Canis lupus familiaris: one gene and its partners. The protein of the gene in region 4 interacts with the protein of the main gene of each other region in a pairwise test. Links are inferred from orthologs where the notes say so. Each region holds a gene or a part of one and is shown on either strand. Other genes may lie near its edges. The genes, in order: TCHP, CIAPIN1, CCDC33, NDOR1 and MTUS2.

The links.
Region 1: the proteins of NDOR1 (region 4) and TCHP interact in binary tests that used the Homo sapiens proteins (3 or more experiments, as listed by UniProt). The two-hybrid records come from large-scale screens. The link is inferred for Canis lupus familiaris from reciprocal best matches to the Homo sapiens genes NDOR1 and TCHP.
Region 2: the proteins of NDOR1 (region 4) and CIAPIN1 interact in binary tests that used the Homo sapiens proteins (3 or more experiments, as listed by UniProt). The two-hybrid records come from large-scale screens. The link is inferred for Canis lupus familiaris from reciprocal best matches to the Homo sapiens genes NDOR1 and CIAPIN1.
Region 3: the proteins of NDOR1 (region 4) and CCDC33 interact in a two-hybrid assay, tested with the Homo sapiens proteins (2 studies listed by BioGRID and IntAct). The two-hybrid records come from large-scale screens. The link is inferred for Canis lupus familiaris from reciprocal best matches to the Homo sapiens genes NDOR1 and CCDC33.
Region 5: the proteins of NDOR1 (region 4) and MTUS2 interact in binary tests that used the Homo sapiens proteins (3 or more experiments, as listed by UniProt). The two-hybrid records come from large-scale screens. The link is inferred for Canis lupus familiaris from reciprocal best matches to the Homo sapiens genes NDOR1 and MTUS2.

The regions. Positions count from the first base shown.
Region 1 is NC_049247.1:17,591,735-17,596,037, forward strand, and holds the start of TCHP (trichoplein keratin filament-binding protein), read right to left. Parts: upstream 2,807-4,303; 5' UTR 2,653-2,806; intron 1,306-2,652; coding exon 1,112-1,305; intron 303-1,111; coding exon 92-302; intron 1-91. UniProt on the Homo sapiens protein: Tumor suppressor which has the ability to inhibit cell growth and be pro-apoptotic during cell stress. Inhibits cell growth in bladder and prostate cancer cells by a down-regulation of HSPB1 by inhibiting its phosphorylation.
Region 2 is NC_049223.1:58,254,960-58,258,470, forward strand, and holds part of CIAPIN1 (anamorsin), read left to right. Parts: intron 1-903; coding exon 904-980; intron 981-2,710; coding exon 2,711-2,879; intron 2,880-3,511. UniProt on the Homo sapiens protein: Component of the cytosolic iron-sulfur (Fe-S) protein assembly (CIA) machinery required for the maturation of extramitochondrial Fe-S proteins.
Region 3 is NC_049251.1:37,908,068-37,911,578, reverse strand, and holds part of CCDC33 (coiled-coil domain-containing protein 33), read right to left. Parts: intron 3,411-3,511; coding exon 3,242-3,410; intron 2,993-3,241; coding exon 2,904-2,992; intron 2,722-2,903; coding exon 2,590-2,721; coding exon of another isoform or gene 2,541-2,589; intron 2,495-2,540; coding exon 2,404-2,494; intron 1,504-2,403; coding exon 1,337-1,503; intron 1,044-1,336; exon of another isoform or gene 974-1,043; coding exon 872-973; coding exon of another isoform or gene 708-871; intron 305-707; coding exon 218-304; intron 1-217.
Region 4 is NC_049230.1:48,445,581-48,449,536, reverse strand, and holds the start of NDOR1 (NADPH-dependent diflavin oxidoreductase 1), read left to right. Parts: upstream 1-1,156; 5' UTR 1,157-1,261; coding exon 1,262-1,396; intron 1,397-1,495; exon of another isoform or gene 1,496-1,651; coding exon 1,652-1,729; intron 1,730-1,964; exon of another isoform or gene 1,965-3,956. Other genes in the region: TMEM203 (transmembrane protein 203), read right to left, coding at 480-890. UniProt on the Homo sapiens protein: NADPH-dependent reductase which is a central component of the cytosolic iron-sulfur (Fe-S) protein assembly (CIA) machinery.
Region 5 is NC_049246.1:11,012,802-11,017,016, reverse strand, and holds the start of MTUS2 (microtubule-associated tumor suppressor candidate 2), read left to right. Parts: upstream 1-1,407; 5' UTR 1,408-1,639; intron 1,640-4,215. UniProt on the Homo sapiens protein: Binds microtubules. Together with MAPRE1 may target the microtubule depolymerase KIF2C to the plus-end of microtubules. May regulate the dynamics of microtubules at their growing distal tip.

The DNA of each region.
Region 1 (4,303 bases), on a different chromosome or scaffold from region 4:
GATCAGCCCAGAGTGCCCAGCCGTGATCCCACATGTCACTGACAAGCTGGGGACACTCCTGCTCTGTTGCTCCTAAAGGGCTAGAAGTTACCAGTTTTCTTTGCTCTTCTCGGGCCGACTTCAGACTGCCGTGCCGCTCCCGGATTCTTCCCTCCCGCAAGTCCATGCTTAACCGCAGCGCCTCGAGTTCTCTGGCCAGCAGCTCCTGCTCCTCCAGCAGCAGCTGCCTGAGCCTCTCCCGTCTGCCTTCCAGCTGCTTCCTCTTCTCCTCCTTCATCTTCTCACGCTGATAGGCATACATGCTGGGTGAGAGGGAGCCCTCCCTAAATCAGCCGCACTAGAGCCACACATGGCATGCTCTGCTCTGATGCGTGGCAAAGGAGGCTGAGGCGGACATGACATGGTGACACGGGCAAGTGTCTTCCAGCCGAAGCAAAGACAGCGGGTCACAGAACACTATGCATAACAGAATCTGGTTTTTGTGAAAAGAAAATGTACAGTGGTCTCATATATGCATGTACCAGCTAACTTTGACCAGTAACCATGTACCAGATACTATGTACATGGATGGCTTTCTATTAATCAAAAGTCCTACAAAGGAGGTCCTGTTGTAGCCCTACTTCACTGAAGAAGAAACTGAGGCTCATTCCTACAGCAAGTGACACAGTCAGGATTTCCATCTAGGTTTGTCTGACTCTGAAGCCTATGCTTTTAACTTTCACATCTTTACACATATTTCTGCAACAAAGGATGTACATGTATATGTATATTTATACACACACAACTGGGGAAAAGCACAGGAGGATCCATATTAGACTGTTAATTGTAGTTCCCTCAGGGGATCTAGGGTTACCAGGAGACTCCCAAATTCTACATGTATTTCCTATTCTTTTCTCCTTTTCAGTGCAAACATATCATTTCATGATGATCTTCCTTTTCAATGGTCAGTAAACATCACCATGCAAGTCATCTATGCCGTCCAGCAAATTCAAGAAAACATGCTGTTAAGCCATGTTCTACCTTCCCATCCCCCGCCAGGGGTTCTTAAAGCCACAAGCCGTAACCAACAAGTGGCTTCCTGCCTTTGTCCCACCAAGGTCCCAGCAGGTACCTCCGCTGGTAGGAGGTCTTGGAGCTCCATTCCGCCTGTTTGGAGCTACAGATATCAGACATCCTGAAGTAGCGGCTGTTCTGGTCCCACTGCTGCCGAAGCCGGGCCTCCTGCTCTCGGTGTCGCTGTCGGGCCATCTGCTGGTCCAGGAGCCTCCGGCTGCACCAGTAGGAGGGCAGCGTGGGAAGTGCCATCTGAAGAGAATGGCAATGGTACGAAAATGGGCCTGCTGCAGCTCCCTAATGAGCGGTCCTCACCCCTTGGCTGCCCCCTGGAATTACCCCACTCCAAACCAATGACACCAGAAGTCTTAGTGCCCGCCCCCAGGCATCAGCATTTTTAAAATGACTTGCATATCATTATTTTAAATGAGCCTGGACTGCACCCAGCTGTGAGCCAGACATCATCAAGGGCGTTGCAGACGAAGACTGGAACCAATGCTGACCCAAGCACTTGGGGGCTTCTATGTTCTCCACCAAGTAACAGGGATAACGATTTCAGGAATGTATATATGTGCCAAGCTCTTGGCATACATGATCTTTTTCATTGTTAAAATCACCCCATTATTTGGCAGGTGAGCAAACTCAAGTTCAAAATGGTAAAGTGACTTGCCCAAGACCACAGAGCCAGGAAGCAGAAGAGATGAAAGGGCTGGGAACCTAATTCACGCCAGTGTCAGACCAGGGCCTGGGCTCTGTAGATGTCAATAGGCTGCCCATGGGGACCAACAGGCCCTGGGTCAGGCAACCCCCAGGGAGTGCTCCAGCCTGGCTGTCACACCTGGAAGTGTTCTGGATTAGCACGGGGGTGACATTCCTCCACTTAGAAATGGAGAAACTGAGACCCAGAAAGGAATCGAGTTGCCCAGGTCACGACGCAAAACGGGGACACAATGGAGACTTGAAAGCAGGCAGCAGTCTCAGTCCAGGCACCCCTCTCCCTGACCCCAGGGCTGCCCCGATGGGCAGGGCCTACACAGTGTCTGGCTACCACAGTGCTCATGGAATGTTTCCTGAATATGCTTAGAAGTCTGGGTCCAGGCCAAGCCTCAAACTCAGTGCTCAGACCTGCAAGAACATAATGTGCGTTCATGGTCTGCGGCTGCCAGTTTACAGCCTGTCTTGAAACTGGGGCGGACTGGCATCACGTTTTCCCTGCCCCAAAAGCACCCCATGAAAAGCTCTGCACCAGGAATCAAGAAACAAGACTGGTCCCGGATCGCCTCTTTCTCTCAGCCCCTAAGACAGCCTCCTAAGACAAAAGGAGTTGCAGAGCAAGGCGCAGGGAGGGCGCAGGGAGGGCGCAGGGAGGGCGCAGGACCGCCGCAGGGGGCGCAAGGAACGCGCGGGGGGGGGGGGGGGAGCGGGACAGACGCAGGGTGGGTGCGGGGAGGGCGCAGGACGGCCGCAGGGGGCGCGGGGACGGCGCGGGGACGGCGCGGGGAGGCCGGGCCCCAGGACGTCCGCCACGGTTCCCGCCCGCGCGGGGCCACGGGGTCCCGGCGCCCACACCCGCCCGGCCGAGCCCACCGTCCGACTCACGTTTCTCAGCGCCCCGGAGTTTCCGAAAAGCGCCCCCGCCGAGCTCGTGCATGCCCCAGCCACGCCCGCCCCGTCCCGCCGCCACCTTCCCGGCGCCGCACGGCCCCCACGCCGGCGGTTTCCCCGCCCGTTGCCCGGGCAACGGATCGACGACGGAGCGCCGCGAGGGCCAAGCTGCCTCCAGCGCGATCCCAAACGCGCGGAGAGAAAGGAGGCTGGTTTGGGTTTTTCTTTTTTTCCTCTGGCGCCCTCTCGCGGTGGGGCGGGAGATCAATCCCAAACATCGCTAGTCCCGGAACCAAGGAAGGATGAAGGCAAAAAGAAGCCTCTTCACGACTAGGCAAAATTCAGGATGGTAGTTACCCGGGAGGGCGCGGGTGGGGGGTGGTGATCGAGGTGAGGACTGGGCGGGTCTCGGGCCTGGCTGCACACGGAGATTACCCGGGGGGGGGGGGGGGGGTCTTAAACGGCCGCTGCCGAGGCGCCTGCGGGGCTCCGCGGTTGGGCGTGATCCTGGGGACCTGGGATCGAGCCCCGCGTCGGGCGCCCTGCGCGGAGCCTGCCTCTCCCTCTGCCTGTGTCTCTCAGGAGTAAATAGAGCTTTCTTTTTTTTAAGTCCAGATGCCTTTAAACAAGAAACAAATAAATTCAGATGCAAGAACCAAACTCCAGGCCGATCCCATCAGGTTCTCCAGTTGTCAGGGTTGTCGGGCCCCCAGATGCACTCAGTGTGCCCCGGGTTCCAAGAACGGTCACCTAAGTGCATACAAGCTATTGGTAACTGTTGTCTAGCTTGGTGGTGGGTACAAGGGTGTTCATTGGTGCTTCAGGACTCACATGTGTTCCATGTATTATTTTATGTATGAAAACGGTGGTAAAGGGGTGTGCACTTGGCTCATTTGGGGGAACCTGCGCACTCCTGATGTCTAGATCATGAGTTCAAGCCCCATGTTGGCCATAAAGCATAGTTTAAAATTTTGTTTAAATAAACTTACCTTAAAAAAAGTCATAAAGATGACTTCACTCATTTATCCTCTTTTGTTTGCTCATTCTTCATGTTTAATTCTCTTAATTCCTCCCTTCATTCTCTTTCATCTGTCTGGGTTTTTTTCTGGGTACAGCATAGTCAGTATCTTGAACATTTTGGCCTCTATTCCGACCCCCCCACAAGCCAGTTATGAGGTCTCGGGCAGGTCACCTCACCTCACCTCTCTGGGAAAAGAGAATGGTCAAGTAATTGAACAGGGAGACCATTAGATGAGGCAGCTCTGATGCCTTGCTAGCCCAGCAAGCAAACCAAAACCAACACCAGAATCAAGGCTCTCAAATCTGAGAAAAAGTAAACGTGAGGTCAAACAGCCACCTAGCCTTGCCCAAATAAAGCAACTACTTAAGCTGTAGCCAATAAAATGATTTCCTTGCTTTGCTTTTGTCTCTTCTCTATAAAATAAAATAAAATAAAATAAAATAAAATAAAATAAAATAAAATAAAATAAAATAAAAAGCTCTCCCCCAGGTCCTGTGTGTGGCAGAGAGTTCCTACCCACATTGGCCTGGCACTACCCAGTTAAAATTGATATATTCCAAGTACACTCTTGAAAAAAAAAATTAATGTGCCTCAGTTTACCTTTTAACAAGAATACCAGCAGTG
Region 2 (3,511 bases), on a different chromosome or scaffold from region 4:
GGAGTGAGAGGCAGAGGATATGTGAGCCTGGAAAGGGGTCTCAGGAGGGCTCCTTGTGACTGTGGAAGTGCTCACATGAAGCTGTGAGCATGGTAAGATTGCACAGAGCTGTGCACACCCAGACAAGTGCATGCAAAACTGGTGAGATCTGGGGAGCTCTGTGGACCCTGAGTGATAACTTCCCAGTCTTCTAGTGTGCGGTACTTGTGTATGTTCCCATGGGGGAAACAAGGAGAAGCATCCTTTTTTTTTTTTTTTTTAAATCTTCCTATGCATCTATAGTTATTTCAGAATAAAAAGTTAGAAAATAATGACTGGAAGTCTGGGAGTGATGAGTCGTAATTATTGACTCATATGAAACTAATGATAGGACCCAGGAAATAAAAACCTCTCTTTTTTTTGCTCAGTGATGAAGCTGTCACTTCTGAATTTGTTCCGTTTTCCATCAGTATGTGATGACTCAATTTGTAAATGCAACCAGAGAACGAAAGTATTTTGAAATATGTAAAAGCATTTAGTGGGAATAGAAACTTGTGACGGACACGGCATATGCCAGTGTTCTTTGTTGGAAGTGTAGACCATGGGAAGCTGCAGTGTCTCTCTTGTAGGAACTGCGCAGAGAGTATACTTGTGTGCTTTCTGAGTCCTCAGCCTCCTTTTCACTCAGTGTCCAGAAACCCCAGAAAGTTTCTTCCAAGAAGCCAGGAGAGACAGGACAATAACAATAGAATTATTCTCTGACACTTAAGGGAGTAGGTAAGCACGTACTGAACAACCAGAAGGATTTGTCAAATTAAAATACTGTCACGATCACTTTTATTGCCAGCTGACGCAAATAGGATCCTTTTTGATTTTTCCTGTTTTGGCCCATGAAGCTGCTAATCGGGGTTTTCCTCTTGGCAGTTAACAACAGCAAAGTGAGGACAACATCTAAGCTGTGTTCGGCCCTGACTCTTTCTGGTCTCGTGGAAGTGAAAGAGGTATGTTAGTAGACCACCTCCTTTGCTGGGAACTGAGACCTTGGGTGACCACACCCAGGATCTCTGTCCATAGATCTGGGGAGAATGAGGGAGTAACAGCATGGAAAATGAGGGGTGCAGTGTCACGTAGACTGGGAAGCAAACTGGGAAGTGCTTTGCATGTAAGATACACAGTGTCTCAAAGGACAGAACCTCTGAAACAACTCTCCTTTGAATAGACTCAGCTTGGGCCCCTGTGGGTTGGGGCATATTCTGGTCTCAGTACTGGTGGAGTGGTGGCGCCCATGTTTCAGGGAGAGAGCAACACGGGTCCCTTAATGAACACAAATCCTAGGCCCAAGTGAAACACGGGCACCTGAATCATCCTCAGGTGTTTGGTGGAGGCTGGAGTGGGTCAGGGAAGAATATCCCACTTCTGACAATTCAGTAAAAATACTTAGATTAATTAGAGGTGTTCCTATTTCTACATCCTTCTTTGATGTTGAAATTTTCTTGTGTGAGAGGAAAGTGCTGTACCGTGATAAGTGTTATACCACGGATTTGAGTCAGAGGCTCTACCACTGAGCTGTACCCTCCCGCCCCTTCCGTGCCACAGATTGGCAGCATGACCTAGGGCCTTAGTTTCTTTATGCCCATACTTGCTTATTTTTCTTTTTAGTTTAAGGTTTTCCGGGTTTTTTTGTTTGTTTGTTTTTGTTTTCCGTTTTTTTTTTTTAATCTAAAATAAGAGATGCTCATATAAATTCAATTAATACTAGAGAATATAAGGACGCCTGGGTGGCTCAGCAGTTAAGCGTCTGCCTTCAGCTCAAGTCATGATCCCGGGGTCCCAGAACCGAGTCCCACATTAGGCTCCCGCAGGGAGCCTGCTTCTCGCTCTGCCTGTGTCTCTATCTCTCATGAATAAATAAATAAAATCTTACCCCCCCAAAAAAAATACTGGAGAGTATAGAATTATAAAGTGACATTCCAGGCCTTCCTCACACTTCCCTCCCAAGAGGAAGCCACCAACACATTTTTATGTGTTACTGCTCAGACCTCTGTGAGTGTGTGTGTGACAGGGAGAGACAGGTACTTGTTTAATGTAAATGAGGTCATATGTATACATTATTCAATTACTAGCTTTTTCCACCTTTAAATATCTTCAACATTTATCTATCCCAGTGCATTGCCCCTCACTCTTATTAATGATGTAACAATATTGAGTGCTGTGGAGCAGCTGTGATTTATTTAACCATTCTGTAGTTGCTGGACACAGGTGGCACTCCCACATTGTTTTCTACCTTTATTGTCCGCTGCTTCTTCCCAAGAAAACATTTCCCCCACCTTTATGGTTTTTTTCTCTATTTTATTTCTACTATGTTTATTGTGCGCCTGCCTCTATGTAGTACACCATGAGGCATCATCCTATTCAGGATGCCTGACTCATCTTGATAATCATAATCATTATAACCCGCAGAACAACTGGCACAGTGCCTTGTACCTAATAGACAGGGATTGGTAAATACTTGAAAACTTTCCAGAGGGTTGGCTCAAAGTAAGCACATAAGCAAAGTAGCACTCTAGAGTACAGATCACTGAGAAACTGAATGTGATGATGTCTATCATCTCCTGATATTATGCACTTCGTAACACAGAAATGAGTATTTGACACCTGTATGGGTGGACTTAGTATGACATCATTTTGTGGAAAGAGTGTGACCTACTTCTTTTGATGTCTTGAATTCTAGCTGCAGCAGGAGTCCTTGAGCCCCAAGGAGATACAGTCTGTTCAAGAACACCTGGGTTACCAAAGTGACAACTTGCTCTCTGTGCACATCACAGGCAAAAAACCCAACTTTGAAGTGGGTTCTTCTAGTCAACTGAAGCTTTCTCTGGCCAAGAAGGCTTCTCCCCCGGGTAAGAGTGGCCTGGGGGCATTGTTCTGTCTGGGTGAGCCTAGAAAGACAACTCAGATGTTGAACCAGAGATCTAGACAGAGACAGTGAGGTCTCCAGAGGATTAGTCCTTCCTTCATCTCTGTCATTTCCAAATGGAAAAATGTTTCATGTTCTGTTGTCCTGGGCGTATTCAGATTCTGATGTGAAATAGCACATTAGCTATTACCTCATTTGGCCTCTTCTGCTCTTAGGACACTGAGGCCTCCAGATTCTAGAAGCCTGAGCTACATGATTTAGCTAATGAAGTCTTTCCACACCCCAGAATTACCACACTCATCCTCAGGAGCTCTCGCAGTGGTGGTCGTGGTTGATAAGAGTAGCCTGCACCTCTTCCCATGGGTCCTTTCTATGCTAGTAAAGTCAGCTTTTCTTACTTTGAGGATCTTAAGCCACTTGTAAAAGTATTTCTCCTCAGACAGTTGTACCCGCCCTTTGCCACCCCCTCACCTCATCACTGTTTCATGATGCCTGAATCAAGAGAAATTGCCCAACCATGAGGTATGCAAACATTTGCAGGTACATTCACACTCCTCTGCTTTGACTGGCCAGCCAAAATCTTTAAGAAATCTGCTGGAATCCCAGCCTCTGCTT
Region 3 (3,511 bases), on a different chromosome or scaffold from region 4:
CCTGCTGCCTTCCAGACACATCAGGTGTGGCAGGGGTGGGTGGGGAGGGGCAGCCTGATCCAGACACGGACAGACCTTCTCTGAGTTCCAACAATACGCTGAGCCCTGACCCTGGTCACACACGGAGTCACAACCCTGGCCGTACTTGGGAGCCTAAAGGTCAAGGGCTGAGTGGCGAGTGTGCCCAGCCTGACTGGCCCCTGCCTGGCTCACCTACCTGGCTCTCCAGGGACAGGATCCGGCTCTGAGCTCGTTCTAGCTTGGCCAGAAGGCTGAACTTGTCCGAAGTGCTGGCAAGGAGATCCTGCGGGCGGAGCGGAGACTCACCCACCCGGCTCCCGCGGGGTCCGCAGCCGTGGGGGCTCGGGGGGCCGTGAGCCACTGAGGGAGACGCCAGCCAGGTCTGAGTTCCCAGCTCCCCAGTGCAGAGCCTCAGGCCCAGCGCCGAACCCTCCTCCCGAAGCTGACCTGAGATGGCAGGTGCTTTTGTCACCCCTGTCCTCCCCCAGGGACTTCGCTTATGCGGAGTTTCTGCAAGTCACTTTCTAACCATAAACCTCACTAAGCAGCCCCCGAGAGCGCCCAGCAAGGAATCTTGGAGGAGGGTGTCTTTTTTGTAAAGTGAAGACTATGGAAGCAAGGGCTCCCCTGTCCCCGCACTTTACCTGGATGTCCATGCATCAGGTGTGCTTTCTAACAGAACTCACCTCCTGCAAGTCCCGGGATGAACAGAAGAGCTCTCCTGGGCTCCCTGCCCACCCCTCTTCTGTAATTCCAGTGTCTTGTCTTTGGGTTTGCATAAAGCAGGGGTGCCGGCAGCAGCCTTGGAGATGGAGCGGGGCTCGGGCACTTCTGGGGCCGGGACACCCACCTGTGCGGGCAAGGTCTCTGTGCCCTTGGAGTGGCCTGGGCCATCTGTCTCTTGCAGTCTCTCTGCCAGGTCTCCTCCTGTTCCCAACTCCCCGGGGTCCTCCTGGGATGGGGAAAAGGCTCTCCAAGGCTGTACCATCCCAGGAAATGCTCCAGGACAGAGCTCAGAGAGGCTGGCGCCGAGTCCAAGTGCAGGCCAGCCAGGTGGCAATAGGGATCAAAGGTCAGGGGCCACGAGGGACCTGCTTTCTCCCAGGCTGCTAGCCAAGGGCAAATGTGGAGGCTGCAGGCCCACGTGTGCTCCCCCCGGGAGAAAAGAGCAGGCCCGAGGGCTGGGGGTGCGCTGGAGACCCCGGAAGCCCAGCGCCTGGTCGTGGTCTTCTACTCGGATTGTGCTGGGTGAGACCGCTACGCACCCACCACCTGTTGGGGCGGCCCGGGCCGAGTGGGTGCTGGTGGCTCTTACCGGCAGGGCCTGCTGCTGCAGGATGATGGGGGCCGGCTGGTGGCGGTTCTTCTCCAGCTCTGCCCGCAGCCGGGAGTTCTCTGCCAGCAAGGCTGAGTACAGGTCGGCAGGCAGGGGCTCTCCTGCGGTCCCCAGCGGAAGGCCGGAGGCTGGGAGCACGGGGAAGGCTGCGGACGGGCCACAGGCTCTGAGATGGGCTTTCCCGTCCGCACGCCCCCGGGCTGCTCCGCCCCGGTTGTGCTCCATTCTGCTCCTCCTCTGCTCCCAAGTCTTCCGTGGCTCCCTGCCGCCCACGGAACCGGGGCCACAGGCCTCAGGCATCATTCTAGGCTCCTTAGAACCCGCCCCCAGTGCTCCCTGTTGGCCCTGGGTCTATTGTAGCTCTTTGCCGCTCTCTTTCCTTCCTTCCCGCCCCTGGTCTGCCCATGCTCTGAGCCCTCGGCCCCCCTCGGCCCCCCTCGGCCCCGCTCTGGGATGACGCTGGGGTGCCTGGAAGGCAGCCCCGGCTTGCGCTGCTTCCCGAAGGCCTCCCGAAGCGCCCCCCGCCAACACCCCATGCACTGAAGGCTGACGCGGGCTGGGCACACAGGGCTTCTCAGTGAGGCTGCACGGGAGGCTCGGGGGCTCCCTGCCTGGGCCCCCCCGCTTCTCCCCAGCTCGTCTGAGCCACCCAGTTGGCCAGTTCTAGGTGGCTTTGCTTAACATCAAGGCCAGTACTGTTTGTTCTGTAGAAGCAGACTCCCTGAGAACTTGGGGAGACGAGGAGGTACCGGGAAGGGTTAGGCCGCCCCTCCTCTCGGGCAGCCCCTGACTGCTTGCTCCAGAACAGGGGGCGTCTCCTCTGGGGTCTGAGCAGGACCCGCTCTCTTTCCAGCCTGGCTCACACACGGTCCCGATGCATCCTGAGGGGCTCCTTGGCAGAAGGGAGCCCAGGGGACCCTTGAGAGCCCCTCCCTGCCTGCATCCGTAGGGAGGTAGCATCCTTTGCCCCAGTTCTGCCCTCGGAGCCGTTGCTGCGGGTAGCCGGGGCCCCCAGGGGTGGGACAAAGGCCGGGGAGCAGACGCACCCATGGGAGGCTTTCCCTGAGGCCTGTTTAGCAGGGGCTCCCTCCAATCCCGCAGCTTGTCCTCCAGCACCCGCTCCATCCTCTCGATCACCTGGAGGGCAGAGCACAGAGGCTGGGCTGGCCGGGGGTCTCCCCACCTTGTGCTCCGAGGCTGGCGCCTGGCGGGCTGTCCCCTGTGACCCCTGCCTTCTCCTGGTGCCGCACGGTCTCCTCCAGCGCCTTCATCTTCTGCAGCTTGTCCTGGTACCGTTTCAGCAGCGTGGCCTGTGGCTGCTGAGCCTGGTGCAGGAGGAGCAGCTCCTTCTCTCGATCATTCTTCTGATGGTGGGGGAAGGAGGGGGATGGGGAAAGAAGGGGTGCCTCGGGTCACACTGGGGCCCTCCCCTGAGCCTTCCACTACGGTGAGCCCATCCCTCCATGCCTCTCTCCCATCTGCTCCCAGACTCTTGGCTGAATACCCCCCAGCTCCCCTCCCCTCAGCTCCCCCAGCCCCGGCTCACTCGAATCAGCTCATTCTGCAAATACTGCACTTTGTCCCTCAATTTCTTCATGTCCAGCTCACTCAGCACCAGTTTCTGCTTCATGGACACTGGTGGGGGAGGGGAGCTGGCTCAGGGAAGAGGCATCTCCAGCTCAGCACAGCTGGGTGGGGGCAGGGGTCTCTCAGTCCCGGGGCTTGAGACAGAGGACTGGAGTCTCCGTTCCCGTTCCTGAGAGGGTGTGGGCCCCTGCTGGTGTCCAGGGGCAGGCACGCCTGGGAAAGGCTCCACCCACCCTGGCCCGCCATCCAGAGCCTGGGCTCAGGCCGGCCCCCGGATGCCCTCCGTGGCCCGTGTACCCTCATCCAGCTTCTGGGCGTTGCTGTTGTCCTGCTCCTCTTCCCCCTCCTCTTGGGTCAGCTGGCTCCTCAGCATGCGGTTCTCGGCCTCCAGCATGCTGGTCTGTTTCCGCAGGGACAGGATGTCCTCTGCCATCTTCTGCATGGCCCGCCGGTAGTTGTTCAACTCCTGTGGGTCCCAGAGCTCAGAAGCTGGTCCCCAGCCCCCCTGGGATCCCCACCCCACATCCACACTTGCAAGTCAGCGGGCCAACGAACAGACTGAACTCC
Region 4 (3,956 bases):
CATCTAGGTAAGTCTTGTCTGGATAGATGGGGCAGTGAGCTCTTGGGTTAGTGCTGCTGGGCAGAGGAAATCCCCAAGTCCAGCTTTGCAGCTTTTGCATATGGAGTACTTCCCCAAGATCCAGGAAAATACTCTGAGCCCATCAGGACATTTTAAGTATATGTAGCTTCCAACTGTCAAAGGAATTCTGTACTGTCTGGTGTGGGGTCCTTCTCAGGATCTCAACTCGTGATTACCTATTCAAAACATGAAATAACAAGAAATACATTTTAAGGATCAAGGCTGCTCTTTTTAGCTTTGCTGAGGGAACAATTTTAGACGATTGGTATAGAGAAAATTGAGCACTCGCCAGAGCAGCAGCTGGCTTTGCTTTCAGACCCAGACTTCTCCTTTGGTACGGTGGAAGGCCCCTTTAGGGCCTCAGCTCGGGGTCCAGCATCCAAGCTATCCAGAGTTCTTTCTCCCGCCTTTCTGCGAGGTTAGTTGACCCTACAGGCACGGATCATGAGCAGCTGCAGAAGAATGAAGACCGGAGACGTGATCAAGCCAAACCAGAGTTCCCGAGTCTGTTCTACCAGCTTCTGGCACAACAACATCTCGAAGACAAACTTGAGGCTAAGAACCGTGAGGACCCAGAAGAGGCGGAGCACAGCCAACCGCTTCTCTCCGTCCTGGAAGAGGCGTACAGACACGATGGTGGTGAAGTAGGTGCTGAGCCCATCAGCGGCGAAGAAGGGCACGAACACGTTCCACCACGAGAGGCCAGGGGCCAGGCCGTCCACCCGCAGCGCCAGCAGCACAGAGAACACCAACAGGGCCAGCAGGTGCACGAAGATCTCGAAGGTGGCGAAGCCCAGCCACTGCACCAGCTCCCGGAGGGAGAAGAGCATCGCGCCGGTTTAGCGCGGGCCGCGGCCCGGCCGAGCGTCTCACCCACGGGACTGCTCCTCCTCTCCCCGCGGGCCTCGCCGGCACCTGCCGCCGTCGCTGCTGCGGCGAGCAGGACACGGCGAGTGGTTCTGCCTGTCCCCGCCTTCGGCCCTGGCGTGGCGCCAACACCCCGGCCCCGGTCCGGGACCCAGTACCGGCCGCTAGCGGACGCCAGCCTTCCTCGGACGCCATGCCCAGCGGGGCGCGTCCTGAGTGCGTCACTTCCGGACGCCGCCAGAAGTCGGAAGTCCCCGCGGATCCGGCTGCCGGGGCTGGCGGGACCTGCCGGCCGTTTGAGTTCCCGGGTGCAGGGCTCTCCGGGCGCGCCCAGATGCCGAGCCCGGGGCTTCTGGTGCTCTTCGGCAGCCAGACCGGCACGGCTCAGGATGTGGCTGAGAGGCTGGGCCGCGACGCTCGGCGCCGGCGGCTCGACTGCCGCGTGCAGGCCCTGGACTCGTACTCGGTGGTGAGGGCCCCCGCGGCCCCGGCGTGCAGACCCAGCTGGCCTGGGGCGTCAGGGCGCCGCATCCTAGCCGACAGCGGGCCCTGCCTTCATGGTGGACTTAGGGCGCGGGAAGCCGGGGTCGGCAACGAGTGGGCAGGGGGGTGGGGGTGGACCCTGACCGAGCAGGTTTAGGCCTCTTGCTCCAGCAGCCTGAGTGGTGGCGAGGGGGCCTGGTCCTTACAGCCTGAGGCCTTACATGTGTGTCTTTTCATTGAGGTGAATCTGATTAATGAGCCCCTGGTGGTATTTGTTTGTGCAACTGCAGGCCAAGGAGAACCCCCCGACAACATGAAGGTAAGGCTGGCTCCTTTGTGGAGCTCAGATTGCTGCCCTGGACCCTCACTGTCCTATCGTTGCCCGAGTGTCCCATAAGCACAATAAACAGTTGCCCTCCCATAGGTGCTGTCAGCTTTGAATGTGGAAGGGTGTCCTGGGGTGGAGCTGGAGGCTTTAGCTGTCCTCTCTAATAAACTCTTCACGGGCACCAAGTAGCCTTCTTCTGCATTTTAACCTTTAATATTTTCTCCAGGGCTGTGTATGGATCAGGTGGTCTATGTGTGTATTTCAAAACCAGGACTTTACCAGAACATTCTTCAGTTCCTTCAACATTCTTGAGCATACACTGTATTCCAAGCGTGATCTAGGGCTGGGCATCCAGCCATGAACCTATTTCTGTCCTCGTGGAGCTCACAATAGAGCAAAAGCAACAATTTTCACAGGCAGTTACGATACTAGGAGATACATGCTGCCAGGGAAAGTGCCAGATGCCATGGGGCATTAATACAAACTTTCTAGCCCAACCTGGGGCCTTAGGGAGAGCTTTCTGGAAGGAAGGCTTGTAGGGCTAAGTCTTGAGGGGGAAGTGGGGCTGGCCTGTGCAGAGGAGAAAGACTACATCTGGGAAGACCAGGAAGCATTTCAGTGTGACAGTGCCAAGGAGAGCACGAGGGTGGGAGGAGAGATGGGATGCAGGAGGCCAGGCCTGGCTCCAAGCAGCCCAGTAGCCACAGTAAGGTGGACGACTCGAGGTGAGGAGCCATGCAATCCACTGGGTGATTCAGGCACATTTGTATTCCAGCAAAACTGCCACTTGCTAATGGGGAGGGCAGGGTACAGGAGAGCAAGAACCCCAGAGGATGCACCCTGCGGGCAGTAGGCTGGTGGCCTGAGCCAGGATGATGTCAGGCAGTGGAAAAATAGACGTGTTCCTGAGATGTTAGGTAGAACCCAGAGAGCATGGAATCAGGTTCAGGCTGGAGGACCAGAATGGATGGCAGTTCCGTGCACAGAGGGACCAGGAAGGCCAAGTGCTAGAAGTTGTCCAGGTGGAGATGCAGGTTTGTGTGGAGATCTAGCAAGGATCTTGGGTGAGGCGTGAGCCAGGACACACCTTCTCCTGGGACAAGGTGCCCTGAGCACCAAGGCCGTGAGAGGTGGAGGAGGACAGGGCAGGAAAGCGGCCCCCACACAGTCAAGAGGGTCAGGGGCACAGAAGTGACTTGTGAGAAGAAGGTTTGCAGCACCCAAATCTGCACAGAAATGAAGTGAGAGAAGGCATGAGCGGCACTAGTCAGGTTTATCAACAAAGGGACTGTGATCGTGACCGTGGGGAAAACAGTTTCAGTAACTCACAGGGAGTGAAGAGGGTCACAGGCTCAACCAGTGAGTGAGTGTAGAAAATCTGCATTGAACCAACTGGTGCCTGGCGGACTCAGTCCATTAGGCGTCCAACTTGATCTCAGCTGAGGTCACAGCCTCAGGGTCTTGAATTCAAGCTCCGTGCCCAGTGTGGAACTTACCCAAAAAAAAAAAAAGATTCTGGCTGTGAATGGGGCTAAGGGGTTGGAAAGAAAGTATTACTAAGATAAGAGAGAGCTGTTATATACTGGGAGGGGAGGTGCAGAGCACAGGGGCAGCCAGAGGCTTAAGATTAAAGAGCAAGGTCACTGTAGGGACAGAGTAGGACACCTGGGGCTGAGACCCTAGCACAGTCAGGAGGGGTCTCCCTAGACAGGAAGAGGCACAGGAGAGGAGGCAAATGTGAGGGGATCAGATGCAGAAGGGTGGGTGCCCAGGACACAGGGCCTGGGAGGGGAGAGGAGACAGAGTTTGCTGAGGTGAGCTGGGCTGGGGTACAGGCTGGATGTCAGCAGGAGGGGGCGAAGGTCATCCCCGGATGACTACAGGCATAGACACCACCATGGGAGTGGTCAGCAGGGGGCCCTCCCCAACCAGAGCAGGGCCTGGAGGCTCCTTGGAGAAGCTGCAGACTGAGGTCCCAGGGACATGGAGGAAGGGGCATGACGCCTGCTGAAGACCCGGTTTAGTGACCAGCTGCACAGAGGGGACCCCTCTGTAGGGCAAGGAAGTCACCAGAGTGGAAGACCCGGCAGGATCCTGGCTGGAAGACCTATGTGGGTGACAGGCCTGAGCTCATGGTTTCCCGTCAGCTTCTTAACTACAAATAGGCCACAAAGAACCACCACAGCCTCAGAAAGACACCACTGCAAGAAACCCAGAT
Region 5 (4,215 bases), on a different chromosome or scaffold from region 4:
ATTTGGGTTGGGCTGGACTTTTTAACACTGGAGAATCAGCCTGTTTACTAACACTTAACAGCGGCAAGGCAAAGCTGTGAAAACTGTCCTAGATTCTTCCAAAGGGGAAGGGAGAGCTGACAGAATGATTTCAAAAGACAGTGTGGAAAAAAGGTGCTACTTCGCGATCCCCGGTCACCAAGTCGTTCAGCTTGTTTAAAAAGCTAACTTGTATAGAACACTATAGGTAACATGGTAGTTTGGAAAAAGACACCCTTAAAAGAAAGAAAAGAAAAGAAAAGAAAAGAAAAGAAAAGAAAAGAAAAGAAAAGAAAAGAAAAGAAAAGAAAAGAAAAACAAGCCCTAAATGGCACAAGGGGCAACATCACGGTTTCATTTTTTTTAATAGTAAACATTTGTTCCACTGCGGCTGAGCCAGAGGAGGAAGTTCTCTGATCTCAGTTGCCTTTTCAAACCTTCCAGGTGCGTTCCTAGGGAAGCCGGGGGCAGTTCGGGTAGGGCTGGAAAGGTCTTGGAGAAGTCCATGCGTCTATTTATGAGAGTGGCCAAGCTCTCTGCAGGCCCGCAGTATCAGGCACAGAAGCACCGGCTTCTAGAAGGACACGCCTGCCTTTTCTGCAGCCATTACCAGAGATTAGCTTTGGGTCCTTGTGAATCAGGAATCCTACTGCCCCCCCCCCCCCGACCCCCCAAGTTTTTCCCACTTCGGATCCCAGATTCCTCCTGCTGCCCGGAATTCGAATCTTGTCTCTCTCTTCCGTCCCAAGAGGAAAAACAGCGGATCCCGTTCTCGGACGCCGCCTCGGTCCTACTCCGTCCTTCCCCGGGGCCGCGGGGACCCTCGCGGCCCCGCGCCCCCGCCCGCCCCCGCCCGCCCCCGCCGCCGCCGGCCCGGAGCCCAACGCGGCGCGCACGGAGGCCCCGCGGCCCGCAGAGGGCGCTGCGGCTCCCCGGCGGCGCGGCTGCGGTCGGCGGGGCCGGGGCCGGGAGGAGGCGCCCGGGCCCCGGCGTGTGCGTCTCGGGGCGGCCGGGAGGGGGTGCGCGCCTCTGCCGCCCCGCGCCGCCCTCCCGCGCCCGCCCGCTCGCCGCCCCGCGCTGTCCCCCCGCCCGCCCCCGCCCCCGCCAGCGCCGCGCGCTCCGAGCCTCGGGCTTCGCCGCCGCCCGCCCCGCCGCCCGTCTTTGTCCGGGAGAGGCGGCCGGAGCAGCGGTGGCCGCGGCGGCCGAGCCGGGCGTGCTGTCGGCGGGCGCCGGCCGCGGGCCCCGGGGGCCGGGAAGCGCCCGCCGCGGGGGCGGAGGCGGAGGCCTGGGCGGTGCCCGCGCGAGGTGCGTGCGGGGGCGGGGCGCGGGCGGGGGCGGGGCCGGGGCCGGGGCGACGGTGCGGGCGAGCGCGCTGCAGGTGCGGGGGCGTCCCCGGCCGCGCCGCCTCCGCGGGCCTCTGGGGCAAGTTTGCCGCGCCCCTCCCCGCGGCCGACCTCCGTGGCCCGCCCGCCGCGTCCGGACCTGTCGCTAAATAGAAAACTCGAGCTGGAAGAGGCGGCGGAGGGAGCGGAGGAGGCAGCGCGTCGGCCGCGGGCCGGGACGGAGCCCCGTTGAGGGCAGCGGCGGCCTCTTGGACGGCTGCCCCCGCTCTTCCCACCAGGTGAGCGAGTCGGGCCGGGGCCACGCCCGCCGGCAGGTGGCCGAGTCGGGGTGACGGCAGCCGGGCTCGGAGCCGCGCCGCGCCGCGTTTACCTGGCTTTTCTGTGCTCGCGGCACTTCTTCCTTCCTGCCCGCACCACCTGCTCGGGCTGAGGTCTGGCAGCTCATTTGGCGCCTTCGCTGCTGCCAGGTCAAGCGTCCTGTTTCGGGAGGGGGTAGGTGAGCGGACCCGAGTCCTTCCCTCCGCCTCCAGCTTCGGGTAATTTGTTCTGTGCCTTCGTCTTAATTTAGTATGAATGTGTTATTTCCTTTGAGCTTTAGGATGATAAAGCAGTGAAGCGGTTTGCTACATCCATTTTTTTCCCCTTCTCATTCTGAGCCTGTGCACAGAGGAATTTCAGGCACAGAAGTGATGTTACTACCGTTCTATTTTAAATACAAACATGGAAAGAAGTACTCTTGGCAGGGTACCAAAGGCGCCTGTACTCTCTGTTATATAAGTACTTCAAAAAATAGTTGCTCATTGGTAAAGTTATAATAGTGATTACCAGAGCACCTGAGGAGAAGGGTTGAAGAGAAGTCAAAACTATTTTCAACCCCAACTTTACTTGAAGAGAAGCATGGTCTTAGCTTGAGGGATCCTTTAAGATGATCTAGGGAGGGCGCGTCCTTTGAACTCATTAGACAGATTTGCAAAACATTAAAAAGTAAAAGAGGTTCTGTAAAGGCTATTGAGAAACTTCGTGAAAAATTTTGACTACTTATTGATAGAAATAAAAACAGAAGATCCCACAGATCTCTCTTATGGCTTTCAAACTACTGAATGATTTTCTTTTTATATCTGGTAGAGACTTAGTAATTTTGAGCTATCGGTTATTAAAGATCCCTCCTCACTAAAACTTCTTGTATCCATGGTTATTTTCTTTTCAGGTAAGAAGAAGACAAAAATAGAAAACGTCGGAAATTCTGATGTCTAGGCACCCCCTCTTGTGCCCCCACCTTAGTATTCCTATCTGTTTTTAATTTATATTATCATGGTTTGGGGCGATGCTGAGGCATTTGAAATGTTAAAAGCTCTCTTGCTGATTCTTGTGCAGCCAGGGCTGAGACCCATTGGGGAGCACTGCTCCTTTTAGTTTTATCACCTTTTAGCCCAACATGTGGCTTCAGTGGTGTAAGGTAAATAAAAAAAAAAAGTGGTTAAAATTTGGGGGAGGTTATGCCTAGATGGCTCAGTTAGTTAAGCATCTGCCTTTTCTCAGGTCATGATCTCGGGGTGTTGGAATTGAGCCCCACATCAGGTTCCCTGCCCAGCGGGGATTCTGCTTCTCCCTCTTTCTGCTCCTGCTCTCTCTCTCCATCTCCCTCAAATAAATAAAATCTTTTAAAAAATGGGAAAGAAAAACAGTATTGGGAAGATGTGTCGAAGAATTATAGTATGTGCACTTTTGTATTGTATCCAGAGGTCTTCCTTGATTATTTTTTAAGCCTGCAGAAGTCCTTGTTGTTTCTCAGAGACCCATAATTCCAAGTAAAATATGTAGAGGAGTCCTAAGTGGGACATTTCTTTGTGCCGAGGTAATAGTGAAGTTGAGTATAGTGTCAGGGTTTTGCTTCTGGGTGCACGAAAAGATAATCCAGCCTTATTAAAAAAATCTAATTAAAAACTTAATGTAGACTAGTAAATTAAGTGTGAAAAGCTTTTTATTATTTTTAAGGTTGGAAATAGACCTGGCTGCTGACTCAGGGTTTTCTGTCTACCTTATGTAATTTCAAATATTCAGCTCTTATGGGTGGTTTATGAAGGCTTATGTAAGAACTATGCTTTTTCATACTCTGTTCAACTCTGTGTTTTGGCTATTACATAATTGACACAGTACTAGATTGTTAGAGCCCAAATAGGGGAAGGATGCACAACCCCAGGCCGGCACATGGACTTTTATAATGAATTGTGGCTGCCAAATTAGAGGGAACGGCAGGGATGGAGGTTTGTGAAAGAGAGATAAGAATAGCATCTAGAGGATTGATGTAATAGAATGCTGTTAAGCTTAGCGGTTTTCTAGAGATTTTAATGCTGCGGTATAAACCGCTCTAGTCTTTTATTTCTCCCAGCAGAGGCGGATTTACTGGGAAGCTAATGAATCTTAAACTTCAGGGCCCCTCACACAGGTTTCTTCTGAGCCCCTGGAAAGCCACTAGCAATGAGTTCACATGGTCATACCTAATTTTGTGTTTGCATTTTAGATTTTTTAAAAATAAGGATGACACTCTCTCCACCCCCCTGCCTCCCATCATATAAATGTAATGCTCTGCAAACTTGGAATCTCTTCTGGCTCTCAATTATTTTTGAATGTTAAGTTAACTTGTAAAAATGCTTTTTCTCCTTTTAACATCCCCAGTCTTCTGAAAAGACAAAATTTGAAATCTGGCCAATGGTGTAGTTGACCTACTGAAAAAGAGCAAAGTGCTATAACCTAGGGCTGTGTGGAGCTACTGAGATCAGGTGGTTACCTGGAGAACCAACTCTTTGCCTTGTGATTTTGCACAAATGGGGCTTTTTTTGGACCTGGGTGTAAG